3 linked regions of the Macaca mulatta genome follow. The protein of the gene in region 2 interacts with the protein of the main gene of each other region in a biochemical or structural test. Links are inferred from orthologs where the notes say so. Each region holds a gene or a part of one and is shown on either strand. Other genes may lie near its edges.

Region 1 (3,750 bases), on a different chromosome or scaffold from region 2:
CAGGTGCGTGCCACTACGCCCAGGTAATTTTTGTATTTTTAGTAGAGACGGGGTTTCACCACGTTGGCCAGGCTGGTCTTGAACTCCTGGCCTCGAGTGATCTCCTGCCTCGGCCTCCCAAAGTACTGGGATTACAGGCGTGAGCCACTGCACCTGGACCCCATGACTTTAATTTCTTTCTCTTTTTTTTTTTTTTGAGACGGAGTCTCCCTCTGTCGCCCAGGATAGAGTGCAGTGGCATGATCTCCGCTCACTGCAAGCTCCACCTCCCGCATCCACACCATTCTCCTGCCTCAGCCTCCCAAGTAGCTGGGATTATAGGCGCCCGCCACCACGCTCGGCTAATTTTTTTGTATTTTTAGTAGAGACGGGGTTTCACAAGTTAGCCAGGATGGTCTCGATCTCCTGACTTCGTGATCTGCCCTCCTCAGCCTCCCAAAGTGCTGGGAGTACAGGTGTGAGCCACCGTGCCCAGCCCATGACTTTAATTTCTAAGGTATAAACCTGATGATGTCACTAACCTGCATAAAACTTGAATCATTCACAAGTGCCCTCAATAAAGTCCAACTTCCTTGGGACAGCATGCCCAGCCCTTCATGGTCTGGTCCCTGTTTACATTTTTTTTTTTTTAAGACATAGCCTCACTCCGTTGTCCAAGCTGGAGTGCAGTGGTATGATCTTGGCTCACTGCAACCTCCACCTCCCGGGTTCTAAGGGATTCTCCTGCCTCAGGCTCCAGAGTAGCTGGGATTACAGGTGCGCGACACCATGCCCGGCTAATTTTGTATTTTTAGTAGAGACGGGGTTTCGCCATGTTGGCCAGGCTGGTCTCGAACTCCTGACCTCAGATGATCCACCAGCCTTGGCCTCCCAAAGTGCTGGGATTACAGGTGTGAGCCACCTCACCTGGTCGGTCTCCATTTACTTCAGCAACCACATTATTTGCAACACTTCCCTCGCCCCGGGTCCCCACCTTCTACAATAGGCCCCCAAATCTATGTCTCAGCCATACTGTTACAAATGCCTGCTTTTCTTTCTTCCCTTTTTTTTTTTTTTGAGACAGAGTCTTGCTCTGTCACCCAGGCTGGAATCCAGTGGCCTGATCTCATCTCACTGCAACCTCCACCTCCCAAGTTCAAGGGATTCTCCTGCCTCAGCCTCCCAAGTAGCTGGAATTACAGGCGCGCGCCACCACGCCCAGCTACTTTTTATATTTTTGTAGAGACAGGGTTTTGCCATGTTGGCCAGGCTGGTCTCGAACTCCTGACCTCAAGTGATCCGCCTGCCCTGGCCTCCCAAAGCGCTCGGATTACAGGCGTGAGCCACCGCGCCCGGTCAAATGCCTGTTTTTCAAAGGTGCTGTCCTCTCTCTTGCCTCTGAAACTTGCTGTTATCTTTGCCTTCCCTTTGCCTGGCTAAGAACTCCTGTTCTTCAGGTCCTGAGACGTCCCCTCCTTCGCTGACTCCTCAGGTGGAGTTCGGTGCCTATTCTCTGTGCTCCTCTAACACTCTGAGCTCTGACACGGAGAGAACTTCGGTCACTGGGACCCGATCATTCCCACCGCCCCAGCCCCTCAACACTTCCTCGAACACAGTAACCTGCTTGAGAGATTAAGTGAGAAGCCTGTTTTAACAGGTTGCATCCTTCTCCTTGCAACCCCTGGCGCCCCACGTCGCAGTAGCAACCGCAGGCCCCGCTCAGAGGCTGGGGGAGGGGAGGCGGGCGACCAGTCGTGCAGGGCTCTTCTCCCAGAAAAGATGAGGAAGAGACGGGGCAGGGAAGAGCTTTGGGTTCTCGGCAAGAAAATGTATCCTTGCAGCCGTCTCCATCAGATTCAGCCTCCCTCCTCGGACGCACCCTCCCCTCTAGGAGTCCCACTCAAACTCTCCACATCAAACTCTCCACATCAGACTTCCTCAGAATCTTCCCACCAAGATTACCTCAGGGTTCCCCCACGCGATCCCCTCGATCTCAGCCTCGATCTCCTTTCCTCACAGCCTCCTCCCTCAGCCTCGACTTCCCCCTCGCAGCCTCCTCTCCGAGCCTCTCCCCAGCGCCTCAGCCTCCCGCAGCCTCCCATCGGCGCTCCAGCCTCAGCCTCCAGGTCCCCGGTTCGGCCCGGCCCGGCCCCGCCCCCGCCGCGAGGACAGTGCTCACCGTCGTAGTAGTAACAGACTTTCCTCCGGGTGCCCTGCGTCTGCGCCATCTTGCTCGCCTCCCGTCCCTACCGTCAGTCGGTCCGTCCGCCCTCCCGCCCGCGGCTCAGCTCAGCGTCCGACCCAGGGGGGAGGGGGCGGGTCTCCGGCCCGCCCCGCCCGTCCCCTCCTGAGCTCACCTATAGCCGCGCAGCCCGGGCACCGCTCCAGCCAATCAGCTTGCGCAGACACGGGCCCGGAACTCGGCAGGGGGCAAGGGCAGCCCGGAGAGGCCGCCGAGGGCCCCCTGGGCCTGTACCAAGGTCTGCGACAGATGGGTGGGGAGCCGCCCGGGGACCGTACCATCAGTCCCGGGGGAGGAAAGCAGCTCCGTAAACTTAACAGTCCCACTTGGTCGTGAAAAGCGTGCTTGGAGATCGGAGGCCAACTTTCTGATTTTACGGAGAATAAACCGAGGCCTACAGGGGAAAAGTGACTTGCACAAGGTCACTCAGCCAATAAAAGGGCTGAACCTGGGTTAGAAAGCGAGTTTGTGATCGCAAAGGAGGGCTACAGAAAAATAATTAAATTAAAAAGAAAAGCAACACGCTGGTTTTGAGAGGAAGAAACTGACAAGAAAGGGAAAGAAAGCTGTTTGTCGAGGGGCTGCTGTGTGCCAAGTACTGTGCGACAGTTTACCAATGTTATTTCAGTTTTTCCTCAAAACACCTCTCGGCCAAGGGCTTTTTACCTCCATTTTACAGGACAGGATAAAGAAGTTCAGATTTCTGTGAATTACTCAAAGTTACACAAAGTAATTAAATTCAATTTTTCAACTGTACAGGGTTTTTTGAATGCCTTCTTTGCACCAGAGGCACTGTAACAAAGTGACAGAACCCAGCCTTTCTGACTCCAAAACCTACCTCCCTGAAGCAGTCACCCAGGATGACTTAAGTAGGAGTCTCTTTAGACAGGAAGAAATGGGATTATCCTATGATAGGAGAGCAGATTTTCCTTTCCTTTCCTTTCCTTTCCTTTCCTTTTTCCTTTCCTTTTTCCTTCCCTTCTCTTCCCCTCCCTTCCCCTCCCCTCCTCTCCCCTCCCCTCCCTTCCCTTCCCTTCCCTGAGGACAGTTCCGCTTTAGTTGCCCTGGCTGGAGTACAATGGTGTGATCTGTGCTGTGTGATCTCGGCTCACCGCAATCTCTGCGTCTGGGTTCAAGCGGTTCTCCTGCCTCAGCCTCCCGAGTAGCTGGCCTTACAGGCATGCGCCACCACGCCCGGCTAACTTTGTATTTTTAGTAGAGACGAGGTTTCTCCATGTTGGTCAAGGTGGTCTCCGACTCCTGAGCTCAGGATCCGCCCGCCTCGGCCTCCCAATGTTACAGGCATGAGCCATGGTGCCTGGCCTAGAAGAGCAGGTTTCTCAGCTTGGAAGCTAATGACATTTTGGGCCAGGTAATTCTTTTTTGTAGGAAGCTGTTCTGTGCCTGGGCAACTAGAGCGAAACTCTTGTCTCCAAAAAAAAAAAAAAAAAAAAAAAAAAAAAATTAAGCAGCATCCTTAGCCTCTACCCACTAGATGCCAGTAGCACCTTCCCCGCAGGCTGTGACAA
Region 2 (2,232 bases):
CTTGGTTCGGCCGAAGCATTTATTCCCCTTTAAAGCTATAAGCCTGTCTTTTCCCATTGGCGATGGGTTCAGGTATCGTTCCCCAGGCTCCGCCTCTGAGCTGTGACCATTAGCTGGTTGGTGGGATCTAATCGCCCTTTTCCTAGCTCCTTACAGCCCCCTGAAGCCCCGCCCCCTTTCTCCGGGCCTGGATTGGCCAAATAACCTTGAGTCGGCCCCTCATTGGCTTTTTCACTCCTACTGCACGAAGTGAAAAAGTAAAGTGCGTTAAGGCGGCTGAAGCACTTAAAAAAAAAAAAAAAGTACAGCCTGAACAACATGGCGAAACCCTGTCTCTACAAAAAATACAAACAACAAAAACAAAAAATTAGCCAGGTATGGTGGCACGCGCCTGTAGTCCCGGCTACTCGGGAGACTGGGGCATTATCACTTGAGACTGGGAGGTCCAGGCTGCAGTGAGCTGTGATCGCACCACTGCACTCTGGCCTGGGCGACACAGCGAGACAACAACAACAAAAGACCAGGCTAGAAAGGACAGATCGGGACTACCCCGGGGATATTGGGCTAACCCTGAGCAAGGGGACAGCTAATGCCAATCTGTAACAGTAGAAGGACAAGAAAAAGACAGTGATACAGTAAGAAAAGAACTTTATTATTAATGTTTCTGTGTAAAACTTAAGCTTTTTTTTTTTTTTTAAAGAAACACCACCAAAAGGGGATTAGCTTAGTCCATCCCTTCCTCAGTCATCTGCTTCCCACATTCCTCCACATGCTATCCCAAAACATTCTGGAGGCAGGGAGAAGGGGAGGCAGCTAATCAGAGTCTGAGAGCACGATGATCTCTTCTGGATCGCATTGTGTGGCCACACTTGTCTGCAGGGAAGTCAGAGACAAAGAGTCAGAGATCTAGAGTACAGGAGAAAAGAAACAGACAGGAGGATTTACAGGATAAAACGGGTGGGAAAAAGAGACAGGATGTGGCAGGTGCAATATTCAGACAGAGCAGCTGAAACAGACAATGAAAGAGAACAAATTATCAGAGGAAACACGGCCTCCCCTTCTTACCTTGTAAGTACTGGGCCGAGGAGGTTGTGATTGGGGGGTTTGGGACAGCTGGGCTGGAGAAGGGATGCAGAGGGAGCTGGTCACCAGGCCATGGCTGGGAGAGTCCACCCTCGTGGAGGAATCAGCAACCGGAGCCAAGGAAGCCAAGGGGGAAGGTGGGCTGGGCAGGGTACATATCTTTTTCCCATTCTTCTCATGCACTGACCTTTGCCTTTCCACATAGCTAGAAACCGAAACATAAATATGCGGAGGGGTAAGGGAAGACTGAGGCTGGAGGAGGGCAGTCCAGTCTCTCCCAGCAGACTCAGTTCCCCAATATTCCTCTCCGAAAGTCCCCTGCAATCCCTCCTTGGCTTCCCTCTTCCTCCTCCTGTTGTTATTACCTGTTTCCTAATGGCCCTGATCCTGTTTGCTTCTTCTCCTTCCGAGATTTTTTGCAGGGGGGACCAGAATCTCCCCAGTTGTGAGGAGAGACGCCTCCATTGAAGGAAGTAGAAGAGACCATGCCTGCCCCATTCTCTAAGACAGTGGTGAAGGGCTCCTCTGATTGCTTCCTGGAAGAGGAAATGTCCATCTCCACAGAGGAAGGGGTATCCAGGGGCAAAGCTTCAATCTCTAGCTCAAAGAGCTGAGACACAGGGCTTTCTTCCTCCAGGGTCAGCTCCTCAGGCTGTTCTCCATTGCTTTCAGCATCTATGCTGGAGGGGGCCAGGGGTTCTTCTGACAGTAACAAGGGTGACACTTTGTTTTGCTGCTCCCCTGAAGACCTGCTGATCTGTTTGCCAGGTTCCAGGTTCTTTTCAGTGGAGATCTGTGGTGAGGACATGGGGCTCCCGTCTCCATCTTTACCTGGAAAAGAAGAAAAGGGGAGAGGGTAGCCCGAGAATGAGGGGAAAAAATACTGCTGAGAGGACACTAGGAGGAGGAAGGGAAAGGTCTCAAACAGGTGGCTTATGCCTAACAAAAACAAATGACAGGTGAGGAGAATGTTCCCTTGACATACCTGCTGCTTCTTCCTCTTCCTCCTCCTCTTCATCGTCCTCCTGACCCTCCTGCATCTGTTCCAGATCCTCCTCCTCTTCAGAATCTGTGGCCTCCTCCTCTTCTTCTTCTTCCTCCTCCTCCTCCTCATCCTCCTCCTCTTCCTCATCACTCTCTTCATCTTCT
Region 3 (3,650 bases), on a different chromosome or scaffold from region 2:
TGAGATTACAGGCATGAGCCACCAAGCCCAGCCTTCTTTCTTTTTTTTTGAGACAGAGTCTTACCCTGTCACCCAGGCAGGAGTGCAGTGGCGCGATCTTGGCTGACTGCAACCTTTGCCTCCCGGTTCAAGTGATTCATAGTCTCCCAAGTAGCTGGGACTACAGGCACACACCACCATGTCCGGCTAATTTTTATATGTTTAGTAGAGACAGGGTTTCACCATGTTGGCCAGGCCGGCCTCGAATTCCTGATCACAAATGATCCGCCTGCCTCGGCCTCCCAAAGCATTGGCATTAGAGGTGTGAGCCACCGCACTTGGCTTCCTTTTCTATTTTTGAGACAGTCTCGCTCTGTCACTCAGGCTGGAGTGCATTGGCACGATCTTGGCTCACTGCAATCTCTGCCTCCCAGGTTCAAGTGATCCTCCTGCCTTACCCTCCCAAGTAGCTGGGATTACAGGTGTGTGCCTCCGTGGCTAGCCCTCCTTTTCTTTCTTTTTTTTTTTTTTTTTGAGACGGAGTCTTGCTCTGTCACCCAGGCTGGAGTGCAGTGGCCCGATCTCGGCTCACTGCAAGCTCCGCCTCCCGGGTTCACGCCATTCTCCTGCCTCAGCCTCCCGAGTAGCTGGGACTACAGGCGCCCGCCACCTCGCCCGGCTAGTTTTTTTGTATTTTTTAGTAGAGACGGGGTTTCACCGTGTTAGCCAGGATGGTCTCGATCTCCTGACCTCGTGATCCACCCGTCTCGGCCTCCCAAAGTGCTGGGATTACAGGCTTGAGCCACCGCGCCCGGCCTAGCCCTCCTTTTCAATTGGTTAGTGTCTTGTGGTTTTCCCACCTTCCCACAGTGGAAAATGGCTCAGGACTGAGTGACATGAAGACAAGCCCAGGGGTTTACACTCAACCCTTGCACCCAAGCTCTGGGCTAAGATTTTGGGGTGCTGAGCACCACCCCTTTTGTAAGGAATTTTGTAAAATTTTATCCAAAGCATCACTCACAACTCCACTTTCTTCACTTAAATAAGGATTTCCGCCCCATTGCTGCCAGGCATACTGAGCTTCACAGTCCCTATTTCTTTTTCCTGGTGCCTGGGCCTGGTTCTCTGAGCCTGGTGGTCACACCCATGACATCTGGCACAGAGTTCTCTAATAATGGGGATACCTAGGAGGTTCCGAGACACCTTACAGTCCTGGGTTAGTAACCTGGATCTCTTTCCACCTCTTTAGGCATTTTATAATCTACCCTTCCCCCTTCTTGTGGGTAAAGTGCTCCTGAATGCTTATGGTCCAAAATAAGACTTCTTTCCTATCCTATTTCCTATTTCCAAATCTTTCTCCAGATCCACCCTAGAGGAAGGGATCAAAATCTTTCACATTCCAGCAGCTGGTGACAGGCCAGAACAGGGAAGAGGTGAGGGCTCAGCTGGCTCCGTAAAGGAGTGCAAATGGAGGAGCAGGATCTCTCTCTGCCTCTCAGTTTTCCTAAACATACTTCTCAATTCCTGGCGAGGACTCCTCCCTCTCCACTTCCTCCCCTAGTCTCCCCAAGGAGGGAGCAGGAGCATCTGAACGCGGAAATCGAGGTGCTAGTCCAGACTGCTCGGTCGGCTTTAGTCATAGCTTGATAATGCCCGGCTCAGGTTTACCACAAGCCACACAGCTGCTTTCCCTGTTCAACCTGTCTGTGACAGAAACCATGGGGGCCCAGGCAACCAGTATCGAGGCGGTGGAATCGGGGTCTTACACACGGTTCTGCGGGCAGGCCACCGGCCAGGACACGCGGGGAGCCACGTAGCCGGGAGGGTGGGGCTGCCCACCGACCCAGGACGCGGCAACGGACCGGGGAGGGCGGAGCTCCAGCAATCGCCTCCCGTCCCCCGCCGGCACCCCCGGGCTCCCACCTGGTCCCGGCGCGGCCTGCGCGCTAGCGAGGTTCGCGCGGTGAAGTACTGCTCGAGCTCCGAGTCCGAGTCCTCTTGGCTGCAGTAGCCACTGCTCGTCGTGCTGCTCCAGGTCATCTCGAAAGAAGGCGTCTCCGCCTCGCCCATCGCCGCACCCGCCCGTCCCCCTGGTCCCGCGCGTCCGTAGCCACCAACCACCGCCCCGGTCGCGTGCGTGCGTGTACGCGTGTCAGTGTGCGCGTGCGCCCGGGCCAGCGCCGCGCCGCAACCGTTAAGACTGAAACGTAGATCGCCGGGATCTAGCTCTTGTGTCATTGGGGGAGGAACGCCGGGGCGGGGACACGCACACTTAGCCCCGAGGAATGACCTCATCGCTCCGGCAGCTCCACTCAGAGACCCCACCTACCACAGGGAACGGGGCGGGTGCCAGCGTCCGCGCAAGCGCACAAGGGTGGCCTCTGGCCGGAGGCGAGGGCGGGAAGGTGCGGGAAGTGCGCGTGCGCGGAGCCTGCGTCCGCCTTGGCTGGGGACTGCTAGCGGCTGGGGTCTGCTAGCAGCCGGTGGAGGCCTTGCGGAGCCGGCAATCCAGGCACCCCTCTCAGCCCTCGCTCAGAATTAGCCTCTCTCTGCCGCCGGGAAATCGGCACTTAGAACGCTCCTTGCGCGCAGCACCCAGGCAGTCTTCGAGAATGCCTGCGCTGTGGCCTGCCCGTCCTCGCCCTTCCCATACGCCCTCGGCCCCGCGCTCACCACGTTCGTGTCCCGCTCCACCGCGGGTTCCCAGCCCAGGTCCCGGGGCCCGCAGCAGTCCAGGCAGACGAGCGCGCGGCAGCGGTAGTGGCAGGTGAACTTGCAATCTGCAGAGAGGCCTAGCCGTGAGGCGGAGGAGCCCCAGGTCGGGGAAATGTCCGGGAGATTGAAGGGAAGCCCCAGGAAGAGGGCCGTTGCCCGCCAGGCTCCGCAGGCCCGGCTTCAGTGTTTTACCTTACACTGCTATGCGGACTTTAATGTTGGCCACCCTGGGTGTCTGGAAACCGGCCGGAAGGCCACAGCAGAGGCCTGCTCAACAGTTGGGATCTCTGTCGCCTAGCACAGAGCTTCCCCTTTCCTCATTGGCAATTAAAAAAAAAAAACCAAAAACCGGAGTCTTCCTTTTGTCACCCAGGCTGGAGTGCAATGGCGCGATTTCGGCTCGCTGCAACCTCCGCCTCCTGGGTTCAAGCGATTCTTCTGCCTCAGCCTCTCGAGTACCTGGAATTACAGGCGCCCGCCACCACGCCCCGCTAATTTTTGTATTTTTAGCAGAGACAGGGTTTCACCATGTTAGCCAGGCTGGTCTCAAACTCGTGACCTCAGGTGATCCACCCGCCTCGGCCTCCCAAAGTGCTGGGACTACAGGCGTGAGCCACCGCGCCCGGCCCTTCATTGGGAACTTCTATGGAATACATCTGCCCATTTACTTGAAGGAAAAACTAAACACCTTTAACCTACCTCTGCCCTCTGGTTGTCATCTGTCTGTACTCCCCTCAGACCAAAACATTGGTCTCTATACACTCTAATCCTTCGCCTTCACTCTCCCATCTACCCACTTCAGCCAGGCTTGCCTCTCCCTCCAGGAAACTGCCCAGGACAGGGTCCTCAGCGATCTATGCGCTGCCAAATGGAATGCAGTGTTCCATTCTCCATTCTCACCCACTCAGCATCATTTGAAGCTTGCTCCCTTTGACTCCCAGGGGCTACACTGCCAG

Evidence for each region.
Region 1: the proteins of DAXX (region 2) and HDAC1 form a complex in vitro, tested with the Homo sapiens proteins (2 studies listed by BioGRID, with this or other methods). The link is inferred for Macaca mulatta from reciprocal best matches to the Homo sapiens genes DAXX and HDAC1.
Region 3: the proteins of DAXX (region 2) and RASSF1 form a complex in vitro, tested with the Homo sapiens proteins (4 studies listed by BioGRID and IntAct, with this or other methods). The link is inferred for Macaca mulatta from reciprocal best matches to the Homo sapiens genes DAXX and RASSF1.

What each region holds. Positions count from the first base shown.
Region 1 is NC_133406.1:208,585,136-208,588,885, forward strand, and holds the start of HDAC1 (histone deacetylase 1), read right to left. Parts: upstream 2,274-3,750; 5' UTR 2,208-2,273; coding exon 2,159-2,207; intron 1-2,158. UniProt on the Homo sapiens protein: Histone deacetylase that catalyzes the deacetylation of lysine residues on the N-terminal part of the core histones (H2A, H2B, H3 and H4).
Region 2 is NC_133409.1:148,970,398-148,972,629, reverse strand, and holds the end of DAXX (death domain-associated protein 6), read right to left. Parts: coding exon 2,069-2,232; intron 1,915-2,068; coding exon 1,449-1,914; intron 1,289-1,448; coding exon 1,066-1,288; intron 874-1,065; coding exon 814-873; 3' UTR 632-813; downstream 1-631. UniProt on the Homo sapiens protein: Transcription corepressor known to repress transcriptional potential of several sumoylated transcription factors. Down-regulates basal and activated transcription.
Region 3 is NC_133407.1:113,814,820-113,818,469, forward strand, and holds part of RASSF1 (ras association domain-containing protein 1), read right to left. Parts: intron 2,996-3,650; exon of another isoform or gene 2,887-2,995; intron 2,772-2,886; coding exon of another isoform or gene 2,760-2,771; coding exon 2,653-2,759; intron 2,305-2,652; coding exon 1,903-2,304; exon of another isoform or gene 764-1,902; intron 336-763; exon of another isoform or gene 188-335; intron 1-187. UniProt on the Homo sapiens protein: Potential tumor suppressor. Required for death receptor-dependent apoptosis. Mediates activation of STK3/MST2 and STK4/MST1 during Fas-induced apoptosis by preventing their dephosphorylation.